Arabidopsis thaliana: one gene and its partners. Each later gene encodes a partner of the first gene's protein in a complex. Each region holds a gene or a part of one and is shown in the gene's direction. Other genes may lie near its edges.

Region 1 (7,579 bases):
GTATATATATCAACAAACAAAATAATAGTTTATAGAGAATCTAATCAAGTGCATGCATTGCAACTTGCAAGAAGTAATGGTGCTAAAGGCAATTGATGAGACTGGGCTCATCATTTAGACTATTAATGTTATTTTATGCAAGCAGTAATATTCCTCGAGTATTATTGACAATGCACATTTCTTTTCAGTTGACTATGAATTAATATATAATGGCATATAATATAGGAATTATTAAACAAACCATATTGACATCATTGAAATCGCTATTGCCCATACAACAACATCAACTTATTCCAAGAATATCAAATTACATTAAATATAGTTTTGTCCCATGCATGTAGGCAATAATAGCACAGGTTTTTTCATATAGTACTCCTCTTTTGGTGTGGTTGTGCAAGTGTAGGCATGATCTCAGAAGAATTATTAACGAGAAGCAACAGAGAATGCAGAACAGAAAGCAGTAAAGGAGTCTCGTAAATTGTGAATTAAAACATTGAACTCCAGCTAGCACATCGTTTTAATCGCACATAGTTTTGTGGTGAAAACAGAAATGCAGTACTCTTCTCAATATTTATAAGAACTTATATTATAAACCCTAAATCTAATCACACTAAATCACATAGGCATATCGTTTATAATATTTAAATTTATGTATAACAATATAAGAAGGATCGGAGAAGGTCCACACATGAAGAAAGGTAGGGATCGCTGACGTTGAGAGCCGCCCAAACGTTTCTGGTGGCCGAGGAGGAAAGAGCATCATGTTGGTCTGTTGGGTCATTCAAGGCAAAAACCAAAATTTTTTTAATGTTTTTGGCAATTTCGTATGACTACATCAAAACGTTTACTTTAATTTAATTGTTTGTTTGACTAATACTATCTACGGCGTTGCATTTGAAATCAATATATAGTAGTAAACAAAATAAAAAATAATATAATACCATTTTTAAATTTAAACATACGCATAAAACAACTAATTATCAACAGAGAGACTATCAAGTGGAAGGAAGACACGTGTGCGTATGACTTGTACAAGTTACACAAAACATACGAAAGTGTAGACAAAACACATACGTATATCGGTAAACGTACATAAACCGTCATCTAGTAGTCTAGTTAACTTATACTAGATTTTCATTTCCGTTACTTATCACTTTATCATACTTATGTTTTATTATCATTTTCACGTGTATTATGCTCTCGCCACTCGTCTGTTTAAGTATGAGATCATGAAAAAATGATTCCTTGTTAACTTTTCAATGCTAAAGTTAAGTTAAAAAACATTTACAAGTGTTTATAGATACCTTTATCAAACAAATATAGCTATAGAAATGAATAATAAATGCCACATATACAAAATTACCGTGTAAATTGTTTTTATAGCTGAATTTTCATATCAACATCTACAACTATCAAAAGTCAAAAGTATTTAATTCAATTTTTCATCTTTTTTTTTTGTAATTGACATTTTCAAATGTATATCACTAATTTTTATCTTAACCTGGTTTGAATAGTTGAAATTAATGGTTGAACTGTGATTCAAAACTTTTTTCAGTTTTGTGATTAATCCAGTTTTTTTTTTTTTTTTTTATGTAATATGTTATTAACATTTTGAAAAGTATATGGAACGACTTATTTGTTGGGCATAACAACTTAATAAAATAGCATATCTAATATTTCCTCTTAAAATGGAACGATTTAAAACAAAAACAAAAAAAATCTTCTCAAAACTCATTAGCTAATTGATTGATTGTAGTAATATAGAGAATCTTCAGCAAACCAAACTTTAGTTATTTACGGACCACATGATAATTATCATATCTATGAATGTTTTTAATTTATATATTCTTGCTACAACATCCGTTTCAAAAATTATAGCCTCAAAATAAACAAGAAAAACTTCACAGTTTATCTACCATCTTCGTGTATAAAAACAAAGAAATGAAGTAGAAAACCCTAGAATCTACACTCACATAATGGTCCACAAGGACCACAACGAATGAAAACAATTGAACACAAATTATAGTAAAGAATCATGGAATCTATGGAAAATTATCAGACCCTACATTAAGACACAACTATTTTCTTTATAAACCTTATGAATTTTTGTAGATACAGAACTTGATTCATTGTATATAATTATGCTATTTCCCTCAATTATCCATATGCATAATGCAATGCAAATGGGTAAGTAGTCAGTTAAACTAAGGGCTTGATTGGTTCTCCCTCTGCCACCCGCAAACGCAGCGTTTGCGGGTGGTAGCGGTTGTTAGCGATTGGCACCAATCATATAAACCGCTAGATATCGCTTTGGACCGCTCGAAATCGCCAGATTTCAAAAGCTCCTTCCCGCAAGCGTTTGCGGTTGCGGGCGGTAGCGGTTAGGTTAAAAAAAAAATTATTTTTATAATTAATTAAAATAATTATATTTTCCACCCAAACCCTATATATCTTATTCTTATTAGAAAACTCTAATAATTAATATATTGTAACTCTATTCTCTCAATTATGGCATCCACCCAAACGGATAAAAATTAAAATCAAAATCAATAATCAAAAGTAAGTATCATATATTCGTTCATCCATTCACGACCAGTTTGATTTTTTTTTGAGTTGGAGATGTGTTATAAATCGTTTGGATATCTTGAAGAAACTTTATTATATGTATAGAGGCAATCTGGAAAATCCGCGAGTTCAACGTTATTTACAGTTTATCACACTATTTGATGTAATTTTTGGTGATGTACCAAATGCATAAAGTATTAAGCTTTTTCTTGCAAAATTTATTTATTTTTGAATTTAATGTTTTATTTACGGTTTTAATTTTTAATTATATTTAATTTTTCTAATATTATGAATTTATCATAATAATATATTATATTTTTCTTTCTTTTAATAGTAATATATTATATTTATTTTGGTTTATTTTTGTTTAATTACTATCACACCCGCTGGTTTACCAGTCATAAAACTCCCGCAAACGCACCCATTATCAAACGTTCAACCAGTCGTTCAAAACGTTTGATAACGCTTGAAACTGCAACCGCCAGTTTCCGCAAACTTCCGCAACCATAACCGCACCCGCTGCATTTTAATCCGTCAGGCCCTAAAAAAATTAATCACTAGGCCGTTAATCCCTATCCGTAATACGAAACACTAGAGGGATAGAATAGTAAATCGCATCGTGACCGGTCATAAAAAGACACGTGTCGTCATCGCTATCCAAATAATTGACAAACTCGAAGCCGCCAAGGGATTGCCGAAGACACATGTCAGTCAGCGAAAGGAGGTTAAACGGTGTAGTTATCACTCCCTAATAAGGGTATCTACGTAATTGCAATGTCGTTAAGATCTATATAAACACTACTCTTTTGCTAGCTCTTATCCGACGGCAAAAGGAGAATTAAGATTTTTAACTTTAAACGAGAGTTTCGTTTATTTACTCAAAAATTTACTTCTGAAATCTCTATTTGAATTTCGGGGAAAAAAATCCTAAGTAAGGGAATGCAGAGAGATGGTCGGAGTATCGCCGGTGAAGACTAAGCTGTGTGATCGGTTTAACCGATCCGTCGGCGGCAGGAATTGCCACCGGAAACACGTCGAGGACGGGTGATCCAGTTTTCTAAACTCTCGTCTCTCGAATTCTTCGAAGATATCGAAAAACTGTAAATCTTTTTTTTCTTCTACTTTTTTACAAAATTCTCTAATCATCGTTGTAAAGTAAAAAACCATGGTCGGAGCAAAACCGGTGGAGAATGGATCTGACGGTGGTAGTAGTACGGGGCTGCTTCACGGCCGTTACGAGCTAGGGCGTCTTCTAGGTCACGGAACATTCGCGAAGGTGTACCACGCTCGTAACATACAAACCGGAAAAAGCGTGGCGATGAAAGTCGTCGGAAAAGAGAAAGTGGTGAAAGTTGGTATGGTTGATCAGATCAAACGAGAGATCTCTGTGATGAGGATGGTGAAACATCCAAACATCGTCGAGCTTCACGAAGTCATGGCGAGTAAATCCAAGATCTATTTCGCCATGGAGCTTGTACGAGGCGGTGAGTTATTCGCTAAGGTGGCTAAAGGAAGACTACGTGAAGACGTAGCTCGTGTTTATTTCCAGCAATTGATCTCAGCCGTTGATTTCTGTCATAGCCGTGGTGTTTATCACCGAGATCTGAAACCGGAGAATCTCTTGTTAGATGAAGAAGGTAATCTCAAGGTGACTGATTTTGGTCTCTCTGCTTTCACTGAGCATTTGAAACAAGACGGACTTCTTCATACAACTTGTGGAACTCCGGCTTATGTTGCGCCGGAGGTTATATTGAAGAAAGGATACGACGGAGCTAAGGCGGATCTGTGGTCTTGTGGTGTTATACTTTTTGTGCTTCTTGCTGGTTATTTGCCGTTTCAAGATGATAATCTTGTGAATATGTATAGGAAGATTTACAGAGGAGATTTCAAATGTCCTGGTTGGCTTTCTTCTGATGCTAGACGGCTTGTGACTAAGCTTCTTGATCCGAATCCGAATACGAGGATTACTATTGAGAAGGTTATGGATTCGCCTTGGTTCAAGAAACAAGCAACGAGATCAAGAAACGAACCAGTGGCTGCCACAATCACAACCACGGAAGAGGATGTTGATTTCTTGGTGCACAAGTCGAAGGAAGAGACGGAGACGTTAAACGCGTTTCATATAATCGCGTTATCGGAAGGGTTTGATTTGTCGCCGTTGTTTGAGGAGAAGAAGAAAGAGGAGAAAAGAGAGATGAGATTCGCGACGTCTCGGCCAGCGAGTAGCGTGATTTCGAGTTTGGAAGAAGCGGCGAGAGTTGGGAATAAGTTTGATGTGAGGAAGAGTGAGAGTAGAGTAAGGATTGAAGGTAAACAGAATGGTCGGAAAGGGAAATTGGCGGTGGAAGCGGAGATATTCGCGGTGGCTCCGTCGTTTGTTGTCGTGGAAGTGAAGAAAGATCATGGAGATACGCTTGAGTACAACAACTTCTGCAGTACTGCTCTTAGACCAGCTCTCAAGGACATTTTCTGGACCTCTACACCTGCTTGAATTTGATGAATTCTTGCGTGTTTCAAATTTTTATGTTGTAATATATATTGTTGGATTCTAGATTCGATTCGTGATTCTTGTTTTTGATTCTTAATGTGGTATCATAGTTTGGATCGTTCAAAAAGTTGTAAGTCTTTTGTGTGTGTTTGAGTCGTGGCCGATATGTTGCGTCACGAAGCAGAGAATGTTGTGTGTGGTGTAGAATGGTGTGTTAAAGATTCCATCATCAACAAATAATAATCATGACTCTTTTAAGAATGTTAAAGAGTCAATTTTTATGCATTCATTCTCATCAAATGTCTTTTTTTTTTTTTTTGCACGTCTCTTCTTACCTTGGATTGATTAGGACATCATCTTTGTTTATGCTGGTCCAATTTGTAGTGTCGTGTTGAATCATGTATATACTCTTCAAGATTCATGTGACTATTGTATTAACACAAGTACTTAAAAAAATTCTGCGTTTTTACTTTATTGAGTCGTTTAGCTTATGCGTTTTAAATTGGTAAGATGAGTAGTAGAATCATCAAGTTAATTCAGTCGCTAGCGATGATAGAGGGCTTGTGGAGTAAGTCGAGTTAGTAAAATCTGTCATATAACAATAGGGATATGATTAGCACAAATGTGACGACGATTGTATGATTAGTGATCAGAGTTTTTTTTTTTTTTTGAATAAAATGATCGTGACAAGTATTCATTGATTTGTTGATTATAAATAATAGTGGAGTAGATGGATTCAGATGAGTGAATAGAATATGAAAAGTAAAAGGAAGATGAGGTGGGCAGCAAAACAAAAGTAGAAGTTACGTGATTGGGATGGATGTTTCATGAACCCGATTAATATTATATTAGTATATATCTCTCTTTTTAATAGAATTCTTAGTATAATCATATCAAACATGTGATTCATTAACGGAGATGCAAACACCAACCCATGATCTGTAACATAAAAAACGAAAAATGAATAACCATCTTTTACTGCCACAACGTTGAAACTGTGAAGGGTTCTTTTGTTTCCATCGAAAAATAACGTGAGTTTCGATCAAAGGTCTACCCCAGTTTTAAGAAAACGTATCAGTACGAGTTTCGCCGATCTATCATTTATGTAGAACAAAATTAGAGTGTGTCAACCGTTTGTATAGCTCTCCTCGTTGCAATTTTCTTCAGTCATCTTGTACGAGTGTAGAATTCTGCTAAACCCTTCAGATAATATCAAAATTTGCTTTCTTCATCCAAAAATATGAAACTGTCGGCCACCCAGATTATATATATAGAACTTTACAGATTAAAAGTTGTAGTTTATCTCTCATTAAAAAAAGGATTGTGGTTTATCTAAATTATAGAAAATGTGGTGTATATTTGTTTCTTTCTAAAGCTTTATTACACAAATCTTTAACTATTTTTGGTATTTAATTATGGCATACTGAAGAAATAGGAAAATCAAAGAACTTATAACTGAAACGCATTAATGTATTGATCTATCCCATTAAAAATCATTGCACTTATCATATGTTCATCGATCGCAAGTCGGAATTCTCTTTCAGAATTACTCAGGACGAAAGTTAAGGTTTGCTTTCTGATCTTTAAGGGATAAATCAAATCATACAGTATTATTATAAAGTCGAATATGGTGAGATTGATCCACATGCGTTTTAATTATATATGTTTCATACTTTTTAGTTTTCTTTAATAAGACGAGACAATAGACATGATGAATATTGATTACCCAAAGATATATTGGCTTTGCTTCTGTCCACAGAACTAGAAGAGCTATGACATGTGAAGACCGTTGAAGCGTTCTCCATGTGGGTTCTTATCCGTTATTCTTGGAATCCGAAGGATCCATAGAATTCAAATAGTGGCTGTTGAACAAATGAATTCGATGCATAACAAACAGATAATATGAAACAAACAGAAGAAATATAGTTACTGTTGAATAGTGAGATTATACTAGATGAATTTGGTGCGGAACAAATGTAGAATAAGTAAATTAGAAGAAACAAGCAATGCCAAAACAAATGAAATTAACAAAAGTTGAATAGTGATTACGATCAAGAGAAAGTGGGATTTATCAAACTTTAACTAATTTTGTTTTTTATAACACTTGCGTGAGTTACGTGAGAGAATAGTAATGTAACGTTCCAAACTTCTAATCGTCCATTTACAACTCTTAACATTTTCAGTTTGCTTGCACTAATACCATATGTTTTGGTCTCATGCTTGGATCAAAACCATTAAAGCCTTCGTCGTGTAGATTAATGAGCTCTGATATGTCACATGTGAGTGTCAATATATTGTTGGTTACTGGCGGATTGACAGTTTGACACAATTGAAGTTGCATGTTGCTAAGGCCAAAATGGTGGAAAAGAAAGACTAAAAGAGTTAGATCAGATCTTATAATACAGATTAAAAAAACAAGTGGAGTTTTGTCTTCTGTCATTGAGCTTCGGTGTAACACATTCTCAAATTGTTAATTTATTAAAGTTCCAAGTTCCAACAAATATCTTTGGGAACAATTATAAGGAA
Region 2 (10,478 bases), on another chromosome or scaffold:
TAATACTAACTCAAGTTCCCTACTAATCAATCTTTCACAAAACTTCTAAAAATATTGCCCATTGACACGGTTTCACTTACTAGGAAATGCTAAAAACTAGAGCTTGACCTTGTAAACGAGTTTTAACATCTAAAAACTATCAATTGTCCAACATGTGAGCTTGTTCTGTTTACTCAACGTCGGCTTTCGGGCTACGAATGATTAGAACATATGAGAAAAGAACGAAAAACAATAACCATGGAGATGACATGAGAAAGAAAAGTTTACCTGTATAGTTAAGAGCACTATAATTCATCAACAAAACCATTTCTCCATGAAAATCAACAATCTCTTTCTTTATATTTATCATCTCTTCATTAGAATTCTTCGCTTTCGCCACTTGGTCCTTCAATTCCTACGATACCAATTCCCACCAAGAAATAGAGTTGAATACACTATGTAAACTAAAAATGCTCCACGCAATAATTCTAGCCTTAGGCTACAAAATAAGTAACATGGACCTAAATTTTTAACTAACTATGCTCATTTCTCATTCAACTACGTTTCCAAACGAATCGAAACTACTAATTCAGATGATTTACGAGGAATCCAAGCTCCGGTCATTCCGGTGACGGACTTCACCGGAAATTTGGCCGGAGTCATTCGTCATAATAGTAATTCCAACAACATCTACTTATGAAAAATCTTAGAATCCTATGAATTGGAATCAACAATCAGTAAATGCAATCAAAACTAACAAATTGATCCCAAATCATCAAACCTAACAATTCTACATCAAAACCTAAGTTTTTGCATCGTTCCACATAAATTTTTGAGGATTTACCTTCAATCTAATGATATACTCTTCCTCTTGCTCAACGAAGAAGGAATTGAATTTCTCAAGCTCATCTTCAAGAAGACTAATGAAATCAAGCTCTTCCTTGGTCATACCAACCGTTGGATCTGTGTCGACAGAATTGGAATCGGATCTCGAACGTTTATTTGGACGATTCTCGACGCTTCGTGGCTCCATAAGCTTGAGCTTCTTCTTGAGTTCTTTGTATGAGAGGAATTTGTCGCGCCATTCAGGTAAAGTTTCTTCGATCTGGTTGCTTAGGCTCTTGCCGAACTTCATGGTTAGCTGAGAATAAGGAAGAACAATCAAAAGTGAAAATTGGTTACAGGATTGATGGTGGTTTGATAATATTAATATTAGTGTTTTATTTTATTAAATGAAGAATATTCGTGGTTTTGTTTTTGGAATATCCAATTTTAAATTTTTTTTGTTGAAGCATATCTTTTTTAGAAATAATATTTATTCTTTGTTTATTTTACGTATTGGATAATTTACAAAGGCACGAGTTTTGGGATACGAAGGAATTGGAGTTAATTGATCATAACTGTTTGATCACCGGTCAAAAGAGTTGGGCTTAGTACATGATGATAGCCCGATTGGATGAATGTATATGGGCCAGTGTGGCCCATGTAGTTACAATTGTGAGTGGAAACAAAGGAGGTAAAGTGGAGACGCTAATGGTCGACGAAAAAGGACCCAAAAAAGAGTCAAAGACCCATACAATGATACAAAAGGAAAAAAGGAATGAAGTTTTATATGCAACACACTTGTAAATTAGAGAAATACCAGCTCATAAAAAAAAAGAGAGAAATACTCTAAAATACTATTAAACTAAATTTGTGTTTCATATATATTTGGTCCAACTGGTCAGAGCGCGAGTCATGTAATTAATAATTATCTTAATTTAATGTTTTCTATAAAAAAAGGTCTTAGAACCTGTTACAATAAAATAAAATATAAACTCTTGCTCTATAATTAACATGTTTTCAATTTATCTAGCATAAATATTTTCCAAACAAGAAAAAATGATAAAGTGTGTTATATAGTGAAAAGTTAAAACTTGAAAAAACAAAGAAACATAATCCATTTTAGAACAACTAAACATAAATTAAATCAATTAAGTTTTTAGAATATTATATATATATATATATATATATATATATATATACTAGTTGTATTTGTCACAATCAGGACTTAGGGAACCCCTCCAGTTTCTATTTGGAAATACCAACTTGTCCCATATTGAGAATACATTCCTATATAAGATAGGAATTTGGAAACACCCGAACAGTTATGGGATGGAACAAGAAGTGTGCTAACCTCTAACTGAAATATTAGTAAATAAAGAAAATTCTAAAAGTAAAAGAAAATTGGTTGTTACGCATCTAACATTCTCTATAGGAAATAGCCATCTCTATGATGATTTCATACTTTTGCCAGTTCCTTGGCTTATCTAGGATTAGCTCCATCATTTGGCAATCCGATTTACGAATTCTTCCTATCAAACTCACAACACTCTTTTCACTAGAGCAATATTGAAGTAGATCAAATATATTTAAAAGGTCATCTTCCTCCCCTAGCGACATAGCAATCAAACCTTTATGATTTATCTATAGCAGTAGACATCTTGTAAATTAAAACTTTAACTATATGAAATTTGAGAAATCCAGAACTTGAAGGAAAAAATAGCAACAAATATTTGTAGTAATAAGACCACTTTAATGAGGTAACTGTTATAAATGTGATGATTATCCATCACATTACTTCTCTTTCAAGAAAATGGATAGTTATCCAAAGTTCATTATTATCCCTCATCATTTTACATTATCTACTTAAATCCTAAGTAGCTTCCTCCCCAAACAATGGTAGTTATCATATCCTAAAGGCTAAATGTCTAGCTTATCTTAAATTCCCTATATATACGATGATGGACAAGAAGTGAGTAAGATAGACGAGGAAAAGGTGAACAAAAGGGCTTACGATCTAGGGATGATGAACCAAAATATTTTTCTTTTATGCCCAAACAAAGAAAAACTATTTTTTTACGATTTGCTTTTCCTTTACTCGTTAAAATAAAAGTATGACAGTTTAACATTTATTGCTCTTTATGCAAGTATGCAACCAATCATACCATAAGTTGCAATCAATATCTCACTTCAAATCTCCATACCACAAATGAGCCCAAGAATGTTATATGATCGATCACCTAAAATATTTTAAAACAAGTTTTAAGTCGTGTCCTACATCTATATGTGTTTTTTTTTTCCTTTAGTTAGAAGTCAAACAAACAATAAAATAGTAAGTATAATGATTGAAAAACTTGAGATCATGCTCTGATGTATAAATTTTTGGTCAACTCTTCCTCTTCGGTCTAATTTTTCTTCTTCTGTTAATACAATTATTTATGAGCAAGAATGATATTTTATTTTATCTTGAAATGGAGAAGCCACCATTAATGCTACAGTAAGGGTTAAGACGTGAAAGTGGGGCCAACCACTGTGTTGCCGAGAGAAAACTTAATTCCTTGAAAGTGAAGGGATCCAAAGTCAGAAATGACACACACACCCGTAATAAAGCCAACTAGCCAAGAGTTTTTTTTTGTTATAAAGAAAAAAAAAAGGTCTCACTCATCAACAACGAGTGAAAAAAAAATGTGAAACCAATAAAGCCAAGAGTTAAGCTGCTTATTTTGCCTCTTTTGCCGAAACCAAAAGAACAAAAAAAAGGAACCATCAAAGAGGAAGCCAAGAAAAAAAAACGTCGGTGATGAGAGGAGGGGCTTTGTTATGCGGACAAGTCCAAGATGAGATTGAACAGCTTTCGAGAGAGAGTAGTCATTTTAGTCTTTCTACTGGAATTTTACCTTCACTTGGTGCAAGAAGTAATCGACGAGTTAAGCTTAGGAGATTCGTTGTATCTCCTTATGATCACAAATACAGGTTTCACTCTTTTGTTTTTTGTTTTTCTTGTTTCTCTTCCATGTCAAGCTAAGAAGACGATTACCATTTTAACTTGATATATATTTCAACTATATAACTTCTGATTCTTTCATTTATGAGGATCGGAAACAAGAAATTAACTTTACTTTAGGATCATAGTTAACAAATTTGTATTTTATTAAATGAATACTGAATATAAAAAAAAATTGTATTCTTTTTAATGGTTGGTGATCAACTTTTGTAATTTATTGTGGGTAAATACTATTAAGTATATGCACTAGATTAACTAACCTTATTTTCTATGAGTTAGGTGAATAACTATTTGGTTAGGTTACAAGTTTACCCTCAAAATAGTAAGAGTTTCATGTTGGTTTTAAACAAATAACATGTTATTTTATCTTATTGGACTATTTTATTTGAAAAATGTTTTAATTTCTTCATAAAATAAAAAAATTACGTGCAAATAAAAAATGCTAGTTGGTCAAACAACACAAAAATGTTGGTTTCCACGTTTTTTTACCTCAACAACAATTGATTTTTAATAATAATATTTTCTTAGGTTAATTTGAAAATTTTAACTACTTGACGACTAAAGCTCCCTTTTTACTCAACATTTGGAATATTCAAATCCTAGTTCCCTAATATTCAAAAAAGAAGATCTATAAATGTGAAGGCTATTGTAGAATATTCAAGGCTCCCATTATTACTCTCGTTGGCTAATTAGCTTAAAAGCCGCCTTTGCTTTTGGCTTTTGCTTTTTGGGGATAATTTATAGTAATTGAAAAAGAGAATGTGGAACATTCAAGGCACTCATTACTTGATTTCAACGACTGATATCAAATCTGATATATTACTATAACCAAAAGTAGAAAAAACTGTACTTGGTTGTTGTATCCTCAATAGCGTCATCAAATAGTAACATACTATTGAAACACAAAGTACTGATAAATTAAATATGAGACTTACTTGGATATATTCATGCAGTAACTTAAGAGATATGTTCAACTACATGTAGAAAATGTACTAGATTATTGAATATGACTGAAATGGAAATGTTGACTACAGGATATGGGAGGCTTTCCTAGTGGTTCTTGTGGTTTACACAGCTTGGGTTTCGCCTTTCGAGTTTGGGTTCTTGAGAAAGCCAAGGCCACCACTATCTATCACCGATAACATTGTGAACGCATTCTTCGCCATCGATATCATCATGACATTCTTTGTTGGTTACCTCGATAAATCGACTTACCTCATTGTTGATGACCGTAAACAGATTGCATTTAAGTACTTGCGTTCTTGGTTCCTTCTTGATCTTGTTTCAACCATTCCCTCAGAGGCTGCTATGAGAATCTCATCTCAGTCTTATGGATTGTTTAACATGCTTCGTCTTTGGCGTCTTCGCAGAGTCGGTGCCTTGTTTGCCAGGTTAGAATCACTAAACTTTTCTTCTTTCTTTCATTATTTTCTTTAATCTTGACATTCTCTGTTTAACAGACTAGAGAAAGACCGCAACTTCAACTACTTTTGGGTCCGATGCGCAAAACTCGTTTGTGTAAGAACATCAAAATGTTTTGCTTCTTATAATGTTATCTTTATTCAAACTACTACACTCTCGATGTAGTAATAGTGTAGATACTAACCAACCAGAGCATTTTTGCAGGTCACTCTTTTTGCGGTTCATTGTGCTGCATGTTTCTATTACCTTATCGCAGCGCGCAATTCTAACCCCGCAAAGACCTGGATTGGTGCAAATGTAGCAAACTTCCTAGAGGAAAGCTTGTGGATGAGATATGTGACTTCCATGTATTGGTCCATCACTACTCTAACCACTGTTGGTTATGGTGATCTGCATCCTGTGAACACAAAGGAGATGATATTTGATATCTTCTATATGCTCTTCAACCTCGGATTAACCGCTTACTTGATTGGTAACATGACAAATTTGGTAGTCCATGGAACAAGTCGGACTAGAAATTTTGTAAGTTAGCATCTTCATATCCATCTTCAATCTTTGAAGCATATCCATCGCGGTTTATAATATTTTGTTCTCATTTTGCAGAGAGATACAATCCAAGCTGCTTCAAATTTTGCTCATAGAAACCATTTACCACCTCGTCTGCAAGATCAAATGCTTGCACATTTATGTTTGAAATACCGGACTGACTCTGAGGGTCTGCAACAGCAAGAAACTCTTGATGCACTCCCAAAGGCCATTAGATCGAGTATATCACACTTTCTTTTCTACTCCCTCATGGATAAAGTCTACCTGTTTCGAGGAGTATCCAATGACCTGCTTTTTCAACTGGTATACTAATGACAATGCATGTGAAAACATCATTCATATCCCATTTTCAACACACAAATGAAGCTACCACTACTTTGTACATTTTACAGGTCTCAGAAATGAAAGCTGAGTATTTCCCACCAAAAGAAGATGTTATCTTGCAGAACGAAGCGCCAACAGACTTCTACATCCTTGTGAACGGAACCGCGGTAATAAAACATTACAAAGTTCTCTACAGATTTGTTGAGTTGACATAAAACTTACTTCTCTTACATATCCGTTATGATGCAGGACTTGGTGGATGTAGATACTGGAACAGAAAGCGTAAGTCGCGTCACTTGATGGATGTTTCTTATTTTATGTTTATCCCTTTTGTCTCCATACCTGTGATCTTGGAGTTATGATGTAACTAAGCATTCACAAAGAGAAGTTTATGGAGAATTTCAGATTGTGAGAGAGGTTAAAGCTGGAGACATTATAGGGGAGATAGGGGTGTTATGCTACAGACCACAACTGTTTACTGTGAGGACCAAACGTTTGTGCCAACTGTTGCGTATGAACCGTACAACTTTCTTGAATATTATTCAGGCCAATGTTGGTGATGGTACCATAATCATGAATAATCTACTTCAGGTGAATAAACAGATCCTTCTGAGGTTTTCAAATATTGAAAACAGAAAAGTATCTATGAACTATTACTTACTTGTTCTCACTCTCTTTCTTTGTGGAGAGCAGCATTTGAAAGAAATGAATGATCCGGTGATGACGAATGTTCTGCTGGAGATAGAAAACATGCTTGCACGGGGTAAAATGGATCTTCCTCTCAATTTATGCTTTGCTGCAATAAGAGAAGACGATTTACTTTTACATCAGTTACTAAAGAGAGGACTTGATCCAAATGAATCGGATAACAATGGCAGAACACCTCTGGTCAGTCAAGTTCACATTCTTGTTCTGTTATTTTCTTCTCATCCAAGCTCTTGGAGACTATAACTTATGATCTCTTTTTTTTTTCTGGAAACAGCATATAGCAGCATCAAAAGGAACTCTAAATTGTGTTCTTCTTCTGTTGGAGTACCACGCAGACCCCAATTGCAGAGGTACTTGCTTGTTCAGTTCTGGTACTTCCCTTTTGATTTCAGGATTTCTTCTGAAGTATTGAGCTTCTTGGTTTCTTCGAAATGTAAACGCAGACGCGGAAGGGAGTGTACCACTGTGGGAAGCAATGGTGGAAGGGCATGAGAAAGTTGTAAAGGTACTGTTAGAACATGGCAGTACCATAGACGCAGGGGATGTGGGTCATTTTGCTTGCACGGCGGCTGAGCAAGGAAACTTGAAACTACTAAAAGAAATTGTTCTTCATGGTGGAGACGTTACTCGTCCTAGAGCCACAGGCACCTCTGCGCTCCATACCGCTGTATGCGAAGAGAACATTGAGATGGTAAAGTATCTTCTGGAGCAAGGTGCGGATGTTAACAAGCAGGATATGCATGGTTGGACGCCGAGGGATCTTGCTGAGCAACAAGGGCATGAGGATATTAAAGCCTTATTCCGAGAAAAGTTACATGAGAGGAGAGTGCATATCGAGACAAGTTCTTCGGTACCTATACTCAAAACCGGGATCCGGTTCCTCGGAAGATTCACTAGTGAACCCAACATCCGTCCTGCATCAAGAGAAGTGTCTTTCAGGATTCGAGAAACAAGAGCAAGACGTAAAACTAACAACTTCGATAACTCGTTGTTTGGTATATTAGCAAATCAAAGCGTACCCAAGAACGGGCTAGCTACGGTAGATGAAGGCAGAACTGGAAACCCGGTGAGAGTGACGATTAGTTGTGCAGAGAAAGATGACATAGCCGGGAAGCTGGTACTGCTTCCTGGGAGTTTCAAGGAGTTGCTAGAATTGGGTTCCAACAAGTTTGGTATTGTTGCTACCAAAGTTATGAACAAAGACAACAATGCAGAGATTGATGATGTAGATGTTATAAGAGATGGAGATCATCTCATCTTTGCAACTGATTCTTAACAACCATAGAAACTCTCTGCCACATTCTATCACCTATTGTTATTAATGACAAGTTGATAACTCTTGTTTTTAACAACTTTGTCAAAAAATGAAAGAGACAAAGAATGCTTAAAGGAAATATATATGCAGACACAACAACCAAAAACACAAGCTGGACCGACCATTGACGGTCTGCTACTGACTACAACAAGTTTTTCCGCAAAAAAGAAGAAAAATATTGTTAACCAGTTTGGTGTATCTGATTATCAAATCAAGAAAAAGGTAAATTCACTGGGAAGACACAAAATATCAAAAGCTGAAAACTCAAAAACCTCTTCTGAAAATTTGCCACTAAGTGGTTTCTAGATTGTGGAGACCTTGGGGACTTCAACTGGGAACTCATGAATTTCATCCATCCATGGGTTCTTCTCTTTCTTAGGGTTTACCGACCTTACCGCTCTCCAAACCGAGCTGTTGCACTTGAACCCCGAACCAAAAGCTATCTGCCAAATTCTATCACCTTTCTTGATCCTTCCTTTGGCCTCACTATATGCTAATTCATACCACAAAGAAGAACTGGACGTGTTACCAAAACGGTAGAGTGTCATCCTCGAGGGCTCCATATGCCACTCTGTGAGTTTCAAGTTCTTCTCCAATTCATCAAGAACAGCTCTCCCTCCTGCGTGGATGCAGAAATGCTCAAACGCTAGTTTGAAGTCTGGGATGTAAGGCTTGATCTTCATCTTGAAGAGTTTTCTTCCCACTAACGTTGCAAAGAACAGAAGCTGTTCAGATGTCGGTAAAACCAGTGGTCCTAACGTCGTAATATTTGTCTTTAGAGCATCACCCGCAACAGCCATAAGTTCTTTCGACAAGGTAACACCAATCTTACTTGCGGAATCCTCTTCTTGAGTTATGCAACCAAAACACTTATCATCAGCTCCCTTGTGAGTCCTAACCGTATCAACAAGCTCATATTTCGATCTTCTTCTGTCCCATCTTTTGTTCGAAAGAAGAATCGCTGCACCTCCCATTCTAAACAGACAATTAGAAACAAGCTTCGACCGGTCATTCCCGAAATACCAGTTCAACGTAATGTTCTCCATACTAATCACCATTGCATAAGTGTTGGGAATAGAGTGAAGAAGATGTTTAGCAAGATCAATAGAAATCAAACCAGCACTGCAACCCATTCCTCCCAAGTTGTAACTAAGTATATTCCCGCGGAGCTTATAGTGATTAACAACCATAGCAGATAACGAAGGTGTCGGGTTAAACAAACTACAGTTAACAATCAAGATCCCAATATCCTTCGGGTTCACATTCGTCTTCGCAAGAAGCTCATCAATAGCTCCAAACATAACAGTCTCGGCCTCTTTTCGAGCTTCTTTCATACACGGGTTAGGCGGAACATTAAGTACAGCCTCGGGTAAGTAAGTCGATTCCCCGAGCCCCGAACGTTGTAGAATCTTACGCTGGAACTCAAGATTCTCCTCTGTGAAAGAGCCAGTGAGTTTAGAACGATCCATAAAGATCTTTTTAGTGCATTTTCGTGACTCATCGGGTTTAAAGCACGAGAAGTTCACCAAGTAGACAGGACGTGGTCGAGTCATGAAGTAAATAGTCATTAAGAAAACAAGCAGCATAGAACAAACAACCACTGAGATAAGATTGTACTGAAGATGCTCCCAGAGGCTACGAAGATCGGTGACAGAGAAAGTTGAAATCTGTGCAGCGATTACAAGTACTAATGGGGAGAGGAAAAGGTACATTCCATGAGTGATAAGGTAATGGTAACCAAGCTTCACATATTTAAGCTTCACTGATTTTTTGAAATCAGGTAGATTACGATCTGATGATTCGATTAACGGTTTCTTTTGCTCTACATCCATAGCTTCCTTCTTCTCTGCTTTGACAGATCAAAATTCAATTACTAGATTATAATCAAGATTTTAAAAATGGAAAGAGAGCGAATTCAATATGCATTTACAAGACCTAGATTCGATTTCACTATCATGTTGTTTTTGAAGCATTTAGATTAATGAGGAAAAGAAACAGAAACAGAGACTAACCTTACTTGCAGAACTCTGAATGCTTACGGAGAAACCGAGAAGAAGAGAGATAGAGAAAGAGGGGCAATAATTTGTTAACTCTTTTTTTTTCTTTTTTTTGTCACTGCACAGTTGTCGCAGGAGCTGTCGTTAACTGTTTTGAATTTTTAGAACGCTAGAGGTTAAGAAATAAACAATATAATATTCCTCAATTTTATTCGGATCTACAAAAAAAATCTTCTAATTATTGATCAATTTCGAGTTTTGAAAATGAAAACTGCCGGTTTATGGTCTAAATCTAGAGGAATAGTAAATGGTACAGGTCTAGAATTCGAATCTCATATCGAATTGAACCAACTATAATGTG
Region 3 (7,801 bases), on another chromosome or scaffold:
TCAAACTTCAAAGTATGTGTGTCATCCTAATTATAATAATAGTGATTAAATAAGTGTAAAATAAAAAGTAGTATTTTGTCCTCCCATCCAAAATAATTAGGGCTTTATCCTGATCCAGAACATCGTCTGTCCGTTTCCATAAAATACATGCATATTGCTCATATTCAATCTCTGTAGTCAATTTTGACATGCACCTCATGTTTATTTTTTTGGACGCAAGTTGAACCTATTACAAAATTGATGATTTCATCTCATGAGTAATTTACATTAATTTGAGGCCGATATAATGAAATTACAATTTTATTTGCAAAATATATATTCTTAAGAAAATAAATCCCAAAAATCAAAATCTTATAACTATGTGACTTTCATTAATAGCCTGTGTTTTCAAGTAAAGAAACTAAATTAACAAAGCAAAAAATAAAATAAAATAAAAACTGTTTTTCATAAATCGTACGTACTATCAAAGTATTAATCTTGTACGTTGTAAGTTGTAACATAAACGATGATATATAGAATCCGCACTTGAAATACTAATTCCAACATTAAACACTCCATATTATATTCAAAATATGTAATATATTGTCCAAAAGCAAAAACAACTTCTTGACCTTCCACCATTACGACTAGTTGTCACGATGCAATGAATGTAAGTAAATTGGTTATTTGTTTTTTTCTTAACTTTTTAACTTTATTTCAAATTCCAATTTAAGTTCAAAAGTTCAAAGAACCTAAAATTAAACGAGAAGTGTTGCAGCAAAAAAAAAAAACAGAAAGTAAATGACCACGTAAGTACACATGGATGTATCGTAGGCCTAGGTCGAGGTGCATGCCAATTGCCACCATGCACACTAAACTTTGGATATTTCTACTAAAATAATACCAACTTTATCAAATCCATATATTAATTGTAAGGTCATGATAACTCATACGCTATATTCCAAAAACAGAAACTGAATGATTTTGTCACCTACCAAATGCATGATTCTAGCACCTTCAGTATTGGACTATTGGGAGTCAATTCAATTACAGTGATTTTGGTTGGATCGGTGGGTACACGAACGAGAGGGCCCATTTAATCCTCTCCATTTCCATTTTAATGAGATTTGATCAGTAACACTCATCACAAATATCTTATTTTAGTTTCTGATGAGCGATGATGGTCTTATTCACACAATGCTATTTACTTTTTCCCAAACTCATTTTTTTCCTTATTGCTAGATCATGAGCAAAACTATTGATTCATGATTGTAGTAGCACTTAAGTGTTGCGAAACCAAATTAAAGATGAAAAAAAAATTGTAGGTGGTACATCAATTAATGTTTGCTTTTAATAGGGTGGATGTAATTAATGAAGTACTGATTTTCCATGAAGAAGACAAGCCAAATGAGAGCTTGAGATCTTGAAAACAACCAATAGAAGAGTACTGCCTATACATGACATGAGCATGATAAAATGTTTTTGTTTAAAGTACGGAATTTGATGATCAAATTTTTTGTTGTTGATCAAAACGTAGAAACACAAACTATATATCGATCGCCCCCGTGAGTAGTACGTATTATTATTTCAAAAGTAAATGATTTTGCAGACTTGCAGTTATTCATTTATAAGCGAAACGTTATCTTATGCAATGTTTACATTTGCAACACCAATTAGCTTCTTTTTTTTACAGTTGAGACTTGAGAGACACATTAAAGCTTGTCATCGTTCACTGGAGAGAGTAGAGTGTGTGAGAGACAAAGTGACCTAACTTCACTGCAACAGTAGTCGGTAAATATCCAAACATAAGAGCTACGATGGTAACACGTGTACGGTGGAGGAAAAGAGAGCCCTCAGATTCCGTTATAAAGGAGGTGAGACCCACTCGCCGGAATGGAAACAAAGGAGAAACGTAGAGGTAAATGGTTGGGCCACTGCTTCACCAAAAAGCCTTTTCTATCTTCTTTTTATTTTTGTTTTGTGGCTTTTAACGGTTAACAATATAACTCCTCATTCCAAGACAATTACGTGTCCTCTGTACGGCTTTTTCATTTTTCACTTTCTACTTCATAGTGACTTTAGGGAGGCCTCAATTTTTAATTACTCGAGGATTATTTAGGTAATCATGAATGTAACTACAGCTTTACAGGTAATTAAACAGATGAGATTTAGTTGCGTGAAATCTAGCTGATCTGGTGCTTATATCAAATCCAATTGATGGAGACAGATTTGGACTTAAATTCATGATTGTATTTGTAATCTTATATACGTTATAGTTAAATTTCTTTCTCTCCGTACGTACTCTAACTATAATTATTATTAAATGCTGAACGCAATGCTTTTGAGTGCTGAGAATCTTTTTGGTCTGATTCAAAAATGATGTATTAGTACTCTGAATTCAATCTTAACTTCTGCAACGAATCAATGTATTAATTTATAGGAGATCCGGATAAAATTATGGATATATGCACGCTACTTCTTTCATTTTTAATTAGGTAAATGGTTATAACTTTATTTTATATATCAATTAAATGATTTTGGTATGAGATTACTAGTACACTTTCTTTGCAAATGTTTTAAACACGACAAGACAAAAATATTACAAGCATATTTTGGTAAAAAATATCATAAGCTTTCATATCAAAATCATTAGTTATGATGTTAGATTTTTTTTTTTTTTTTTTAACACTACAAAAAGCTCTGGTCTTAATATGTTAGAAATTTTAGTCCAAACCAGCCTACAGAGGATTTAGCTAAACAATTCCCAAGCACCTTTTAAGTGTTAACCGAAATAACGTAATATGATGTTAAAGGTTACATAAAAACAAAACTAAAGAATTTTCATATGAAAAGTTAACGTACGTGTCTTAGTGTAACCTAATTTTAGTTCACAGTATATAAATTCTTTAATGAGATGATCGCAAAATCGCTGTATACAATTTCGTACTTAATTCGTTAGTCTTGAAAAGTTGACCTAATTTAGATCAAATTAAGGTTAACTACAATAAAAATTTAACTAACGTAATGGGATTCTTTAAAATTAAAAAATCGTTGATTAGATAGATATTTTATCTTTAAGGGAGACACAGAGACAATTTGGACAAAAAAGGTCTTCCTGAGAAAGAAGTGGACCACAATCGTGGCGCGAAAGGAACTTCCTCCTCCCCTCTGTTGCCTTGTCATTGGGCCACGTATATCTCCACCTGATCGTGATGCTTACGTGGTCCATTTCTAGATACTATAGTGACCAGATCAACGGTCAAGATTGATTCTAATTTAGACGAAAGACCAACACGTCACGTCGCTAGAGTAAAAGATTTTTTGAAGGCGGAGGGAGAAAAATCAAAAGTTAAAAGTAATTTGAAAACGAGGAAGAGAAAAAGGAATTTTAAAATGTTTAATGAAGCGGTAGGCCGCATGGGTATATAAATGGGCACGCTTTGTAACGTGTAACGATGATATTTATTCAACTGCGTGGTATAACCAAAAAAAAAAGAAACACTATTCGACTCTTTTTTTGTTTTTGTAATAAACATAAAATAAATTTTGGAGAGAGATATTTCGTCGGAAATTAATTGACGTTCAAAAGATTCGTTACCGGAATATTTAGTAGAGGCGGCGATCGAGTTATGGCGGATATTTGTTATGAAGACGAGACGTCGGCTTGTGAATCAAGACCGTTGTGGTCTAGCCGGAAGTGGAGGATCGGTGTCCAGCGATTCAGGATGTCTCCGTCGGAGATGAATCCCACGGCGTCGACGACGGAGGAGGAGGATAAATCTGAAGGGATTTATAATAAGCGAAATAAACAAGAAGAGTACGATTTTATGAACTGTGCATCGTCGTCACCTTCTCAAAGCTCTCCTGAAGAAGAGAGTGTATCACTTGAAGACAGTGACGTCTCTATCTCCGATGGAAATTCATCGGTTAATGATGTTGCAGTTATTCCGTCGAAGAAGACGGTTAAAGAGACGGATCTGAGGCCGAGATACGGCGTCGCATCGGTGTGCGGGAGAAGAAGAGATATGGAAGATGCGGTTGCGTTACATCCGTCTTTTGTACGGAAACAAACGGAGTTTTCTCGAACAAGATGGCACTATTTTGGTGTTTACGACGGCCATGGCTGTTCTCACGTACGACGCCGTTTTACCCTAATTTGAAAATTTCAAAATTATTGATATATTTACGGTTTTGCCTGATTGAAATATACGATGTCGTTTTTGTAGGTTGCGGCTAGGTGTAAAGAGAGACTTCACGAGTTAGTGCAAGAAGAAGCGTTGTCGGATAAGAAAGAAGAATGGAAGAAGATGATGGAGCGTAGCTTCACACGTATGGACAAAGAGGTTGTTCGTTGGGGTGAAACTGTGATGAGTGCTAATTGTAGGTGTGAGCTTCAAACGCCGGACTGTGACGCTGTTGGATCCACCGCCGTTGTCTCCGTCATTACGCCGGAGAAGATCATTGTTGCGAATTGCGGTGACTCAAGAGCAGTTCTTTGTAGGAATGGTAAAGCAGTACCTCTTTCTACAGATCATAAGGTCAGTCTTTATCTCTTTCTAACTCTTTCTTGATTTGTTTGATTTAGTGGATTTTAACTCTTGTTTACGTTTGAAAATGAACAGCCTGATCGTCCGGATGAGCTGGATCGAATCCAAGAAGCAGGAGGACGAGTGATATACTGGGACGGTGCAAGAGTCTTAGGCGTTTTAGCCATGTCACGAGCCATAGGAGACAATTATTTAAAACCGTACGTCACTTCGGAGCCGGAAGTGACGGTTACGGATCGGACTGAGGAAGATGAGTTTCTGATTCTAGCGACGGACGGGCTATGGGACGTAGTGACGAACGAGGCAGCGTGTACGATGGTGCGCATGTGTCTCAACAGAAAAAGTGGTCGTGGAAGACGGCGAGGAGAAACACAGACTCCGGGGAGGAGGAGTGAAGAAGAAGGGAAAGAAGAAGAGGAGAAGGTGGTGGGGTCAAGAAAGAACGGGAAGAGAGGAGAGATCACGGACAAAGCATGTACGGAGGCGTCAGTATTGCTGACGAAGCTGGCGTTGGCAAAACACAGTAGTGACAACGTAAGCGTCGTCGTTATTGATCTCAGAAGAAGAAGAAAGAGACACGTTGCTTGACACTAATCTCCTCATCACTCTTACTCCACCGTTTTTTGTGTTGTTTAAAATGATTCTTTTACCTTGGGACGAAGGTAGCTCAAATCTTTGAACCCAAAAGAGAGAAAAAAAAAGCATTAGGTCTAAAAAAAAAACCCCGGTTTACTGAAAGCGGTTAAACCGGGTATGGTTGGGTCTTTTTTGTTCTGAACCTTTTTTTCTTGCCTTTTTTCGGTGTGTAATGAACAAACAGAAAAGGAAGCCGGAATGTGTCACTGTCTAGGTGGAATCAGTTCAGAATTCAATTAATAAAAAAGTATGTATATGTTTTCTTGGCTTTTAAAGCAAACCAATTAACTCGGATACGCGTGGTGATCTTTGAGAACATCACCGGGAATTTTCAGTTTGTTGATAAAGATTTTAAAATCTCTATAAACGAGTGGGCCTTTTTGGTGTTGGAAGAAATTCAAAATCTCACGGAAACGAAAAGAGAGAGAAGATAATTGGGAAGAGGACGGAGTACGTGTCGAAGAGGTAAAAGTAGAAACCCTACACCACGTAAAGAGGATGTGACACACCGGAACGATGCATATGTTAATATGCGCATTCGTACGTGTCGGTGTCGGTGTCGGGTAATTGATTGAGATCTGAATATGAACCTAATCAGACTGTTTTATCTAAACATGATCACTGGTCTGATGGAAAATCAAAATTAACTTACCTGTCATGTAATGTAAGAATTTTATTAAGAAGGAAAATCGAACCAACACTCCCAAAGCATTTGGGCCGAGAATTTTGGGGTATTATATTTTCATCTGAATCCTATAAGGCTATAACCTACCCAAAAATTTGGTAGCGCAACATCTAAACTTGATACAGAAAAATGAGACAAGGATATATTAAGCTTCAAATAGATGACCCATACAAAATGTTTTAATTGCCCAACCTAAACACATACTGAGTTGAAGTACCATATGTTTTTTCAAATAGGCCACACGAGCAGCAATTCTAGTCAGACATAATAAACTAAGACACATGAGCGTTGCAGCAACCTGAAAGCAAAATGTTAAAGAAAAGGAGAGGTTGCAGAATAAGACCTCTCTAAGACAAATGTACTCTGCAATCCAAAGTGGCAATTTCACGTTTGTTTCATGTCACCGTTTTCTTTAAGGGTCTTCAGTCTTCTGTACCCCTTGTCAGTACCAAAGATCCTGAAGAACACCAGAGACGAATTATACACTGGATATTAATATCAGGACAACTAAAGATCTGTTCTGGAAAGCGAAGAGATATTAAACAAGTTCAGAGGTTCACCAGTCCATATACACAAAAGTTGAAGAGTAGTTTCCGGACTTTGTGTATAGCAGTCGGTGATGGTAGTCATGGAAGTCAGCACTGTAACCAAATCACAAAAATAATAATAGTAAAATCTATTAATACAAATGTCTTATGGTTTTAAGTTTCAAAAGAGCTGGCTAGATGTGTGATCTTACCCTCCATACAGAGGAAGAAAATTTGAGAGGCTCCATGGGAAATGATAACCACAATGTGCCTCAACTGTCTCCAGCACTCTCAACACCATCCATAACCAGAGAGTAATTAGGTGAGGGCCAGTAAGAGCTGGACCGACTATGGTAGCAAAACCCAGAAATAGAATCTCAGCGGGGTGAGCATATTCTGATGTCAAACCAAATGGTGTGGCATATCTGTGATATCATGAAATGGTTGCTTTTCAGAAACTCACAGTTTCAAGTATCAAGACTGAAAAAAAAAATGGTGAACATTGAAACTTACTCATGATGCACACTATGCACGTTCTTGTACAGCCATTTTGAATGCAAGATCCGATGACCCCAATAGAAGACAAAATCCTCAATGATAAAGTAGAATAATATCTGGGCAGACACTTCTTTCCTGCAGGACCATCACCAAAGAGGGTCTTATATACCTGATCAAACATGAGCTCAGGTTCTTTCATGATGCTCAACACTGACATCTTTTGATTATGTTTTTCTTTCTTTTTATTGCCAAATGGACGAGTTTAAGATCAATACCAGGACGGCAGAGGAAAACTGCTTCGCATTCCCATGGCTCGGAAGACAGGGTAGGAGGCCAACATCAGGGGCAAGTTTACGGAGAAATGATAAAGCAACAGGCGAGTAATACATTTTCCTTGGGCTGCAGGTGTGTTATTTTTTGTCTGCATAGGGACAAAAGAAAAGTATGTGTTGACCATAAAGGGTAAGAGAAGCATAGAAAAGGGTCATATTCACAATTATTAGTAATCGCTGAAATGGACATCAGCCTGTCATAAGAAAACACTTTTCACGTGAGACTGAATTCTTGGGGATCAACCTCTAGACTATCATATTCAAACCATCACACAAAGCTATGATTGCATACATAGAAGACACTTGTAAAAGATAAATAATAAGAAGAGAATAAACCTGAATTTTGTACTTGCTGAGAAAGCCTTGCCTTTCAAGAAAAATGAAAGGGAGTCCAGATAAGAAAAACACGCTTTCATGGAGGAGAAAACTCCCAATACATGCCAGTTGAAAGTCGCTAAAATGTGTCACAAGGTACTGCATCAACCACATAAAATGATCAGCTCCAGATACAAAATTTCCGTGCTGAATGAGAACTCATGATAGACAATACGCACAAAACACCAAGGAAAGGAAACAAATACTATCATTAAGTAAAAA

What was found. The genes of interacting proteins can lie anywhere in the genome.
Region 2: SIP3 (region 1) and KT1 share a complex: the UniProt entries of both Arabidopsis thaliana proteins name them as parts of the K(+)-channel calcium-sensing kinase/phosphatase complex.
Region 3: SIP3 (region 1) and HAI2 share a complex: the UniProt entries of both Arabidopsis thaliana proteins name them as parts of the K(+)-channel calcium-sensing kinase/phosphatase complex.

Annotation. Positions count from the first base shown.
Region 1 is NC_003075.7:15,063,670-15,071,248, forward strand, and holds SIP3 (SOS3-interacting protein 3), read left to right. Parts: upstream 1-3,358; 5' UTR 3,359-3,730; coding exon 3,731-5,056; 3' UTR 5,057-5,514; downstream 5,515-7,579. Other genes in the region: AT4G30970 (uncharacterized protein), read right to left, coding at 5,597-5,641, 7,254-7,398. UniProt on the Arabidopsis thaliana protein: CIPK serine-threonine protein kinases interact with CBL proteins. Binding of a CBL protein to the regulatory NAF domain of CIPK protein lead to the activation of the kinase in a calcium-dependent manner.
Region 2 is NC_003071.7:11,329,568-11,340,045, reverse strand, and holds KT1 (K+ transporter 1), read left to right. Parts: upstream 1-3,307; 5' UTR 3,308-3,601; coding exon 3,602-3,774; intron 3,775-4,627; exon of another isoform or gene 4,628-4,839; coding exon 4,840-5,196; intron 5,197-5,265; coding exon 5,266-5,323; intron 5,324-5,431; coding exon 5,432-5,749; intron 5,750-5,830; coding exon 5,831-6,076; intron 6,077-6,165; coding exon 6,166-6,264; intron 6,265-6,346; coding exon 6,347-6,379; intron 6,380-6,502; coding exon 6,503-6,688; intron 6,689-6,790; coding exon 6,791-6,985; intron 6,986-7,079; coding exon 7,080-7,155; intron 7,156-7,248; coding exon 7,249-8,081; 3' UTR 8,082-8,196; downstream 8,197-10,478. Other genes in the region: SPX2 (SPX domain-containing protein 2 (SPX2)), read right to left, coding at 268-394, 824-1,114; KCS11 (3-ketoacyl-CoA synthase 11), read right to left, coding at 8,423-9,952. UniProt on the Arabidopsis thaliana protein: Highly selective inward-rectifying potassium channel that mediate potassium uptake by plant roots in response to low K(+) conditions, by a calcium-, CBL-, and CIPK-dependent pathway. Positively regulated by phosphorylation by CIPK23.
Region 3 is NC_003070.9:2,278,464-2,286,264, reverse strand, and holds HAI2 (highly ABA-induced PP2C protein 2), read left to right. Parts: upstream 1-3,436; 5' UTR 3,437-3,608; coding exon 3,609-4,112; intron 4,113-4,205; coding exon 4,206-4,517; intron 4,518-4,601; coding exon 4,602-5,114; 3' UTR 5,115-5,519; downstream 5,520-7,801. Other genes in the region: SMO2-1 (sterol 4-alpha-methyl-oxidase 2-1), read right to left, coding at 6,232-6,304, 6,408-6,488, 6,587-6,799, 6,888-7,007, 7,148-7,293, 7,541-7,678. UniProt on the Arabidopsis thaliana protein: Involved in the negative regulation of the K(+) potassium channel AKT1 by its dephosphorylation, antagonistically to CIPK proteins (e.g. CIPK23). Functions as a positive regulator of abscisic acid-mediated cell signaling during seedling growth.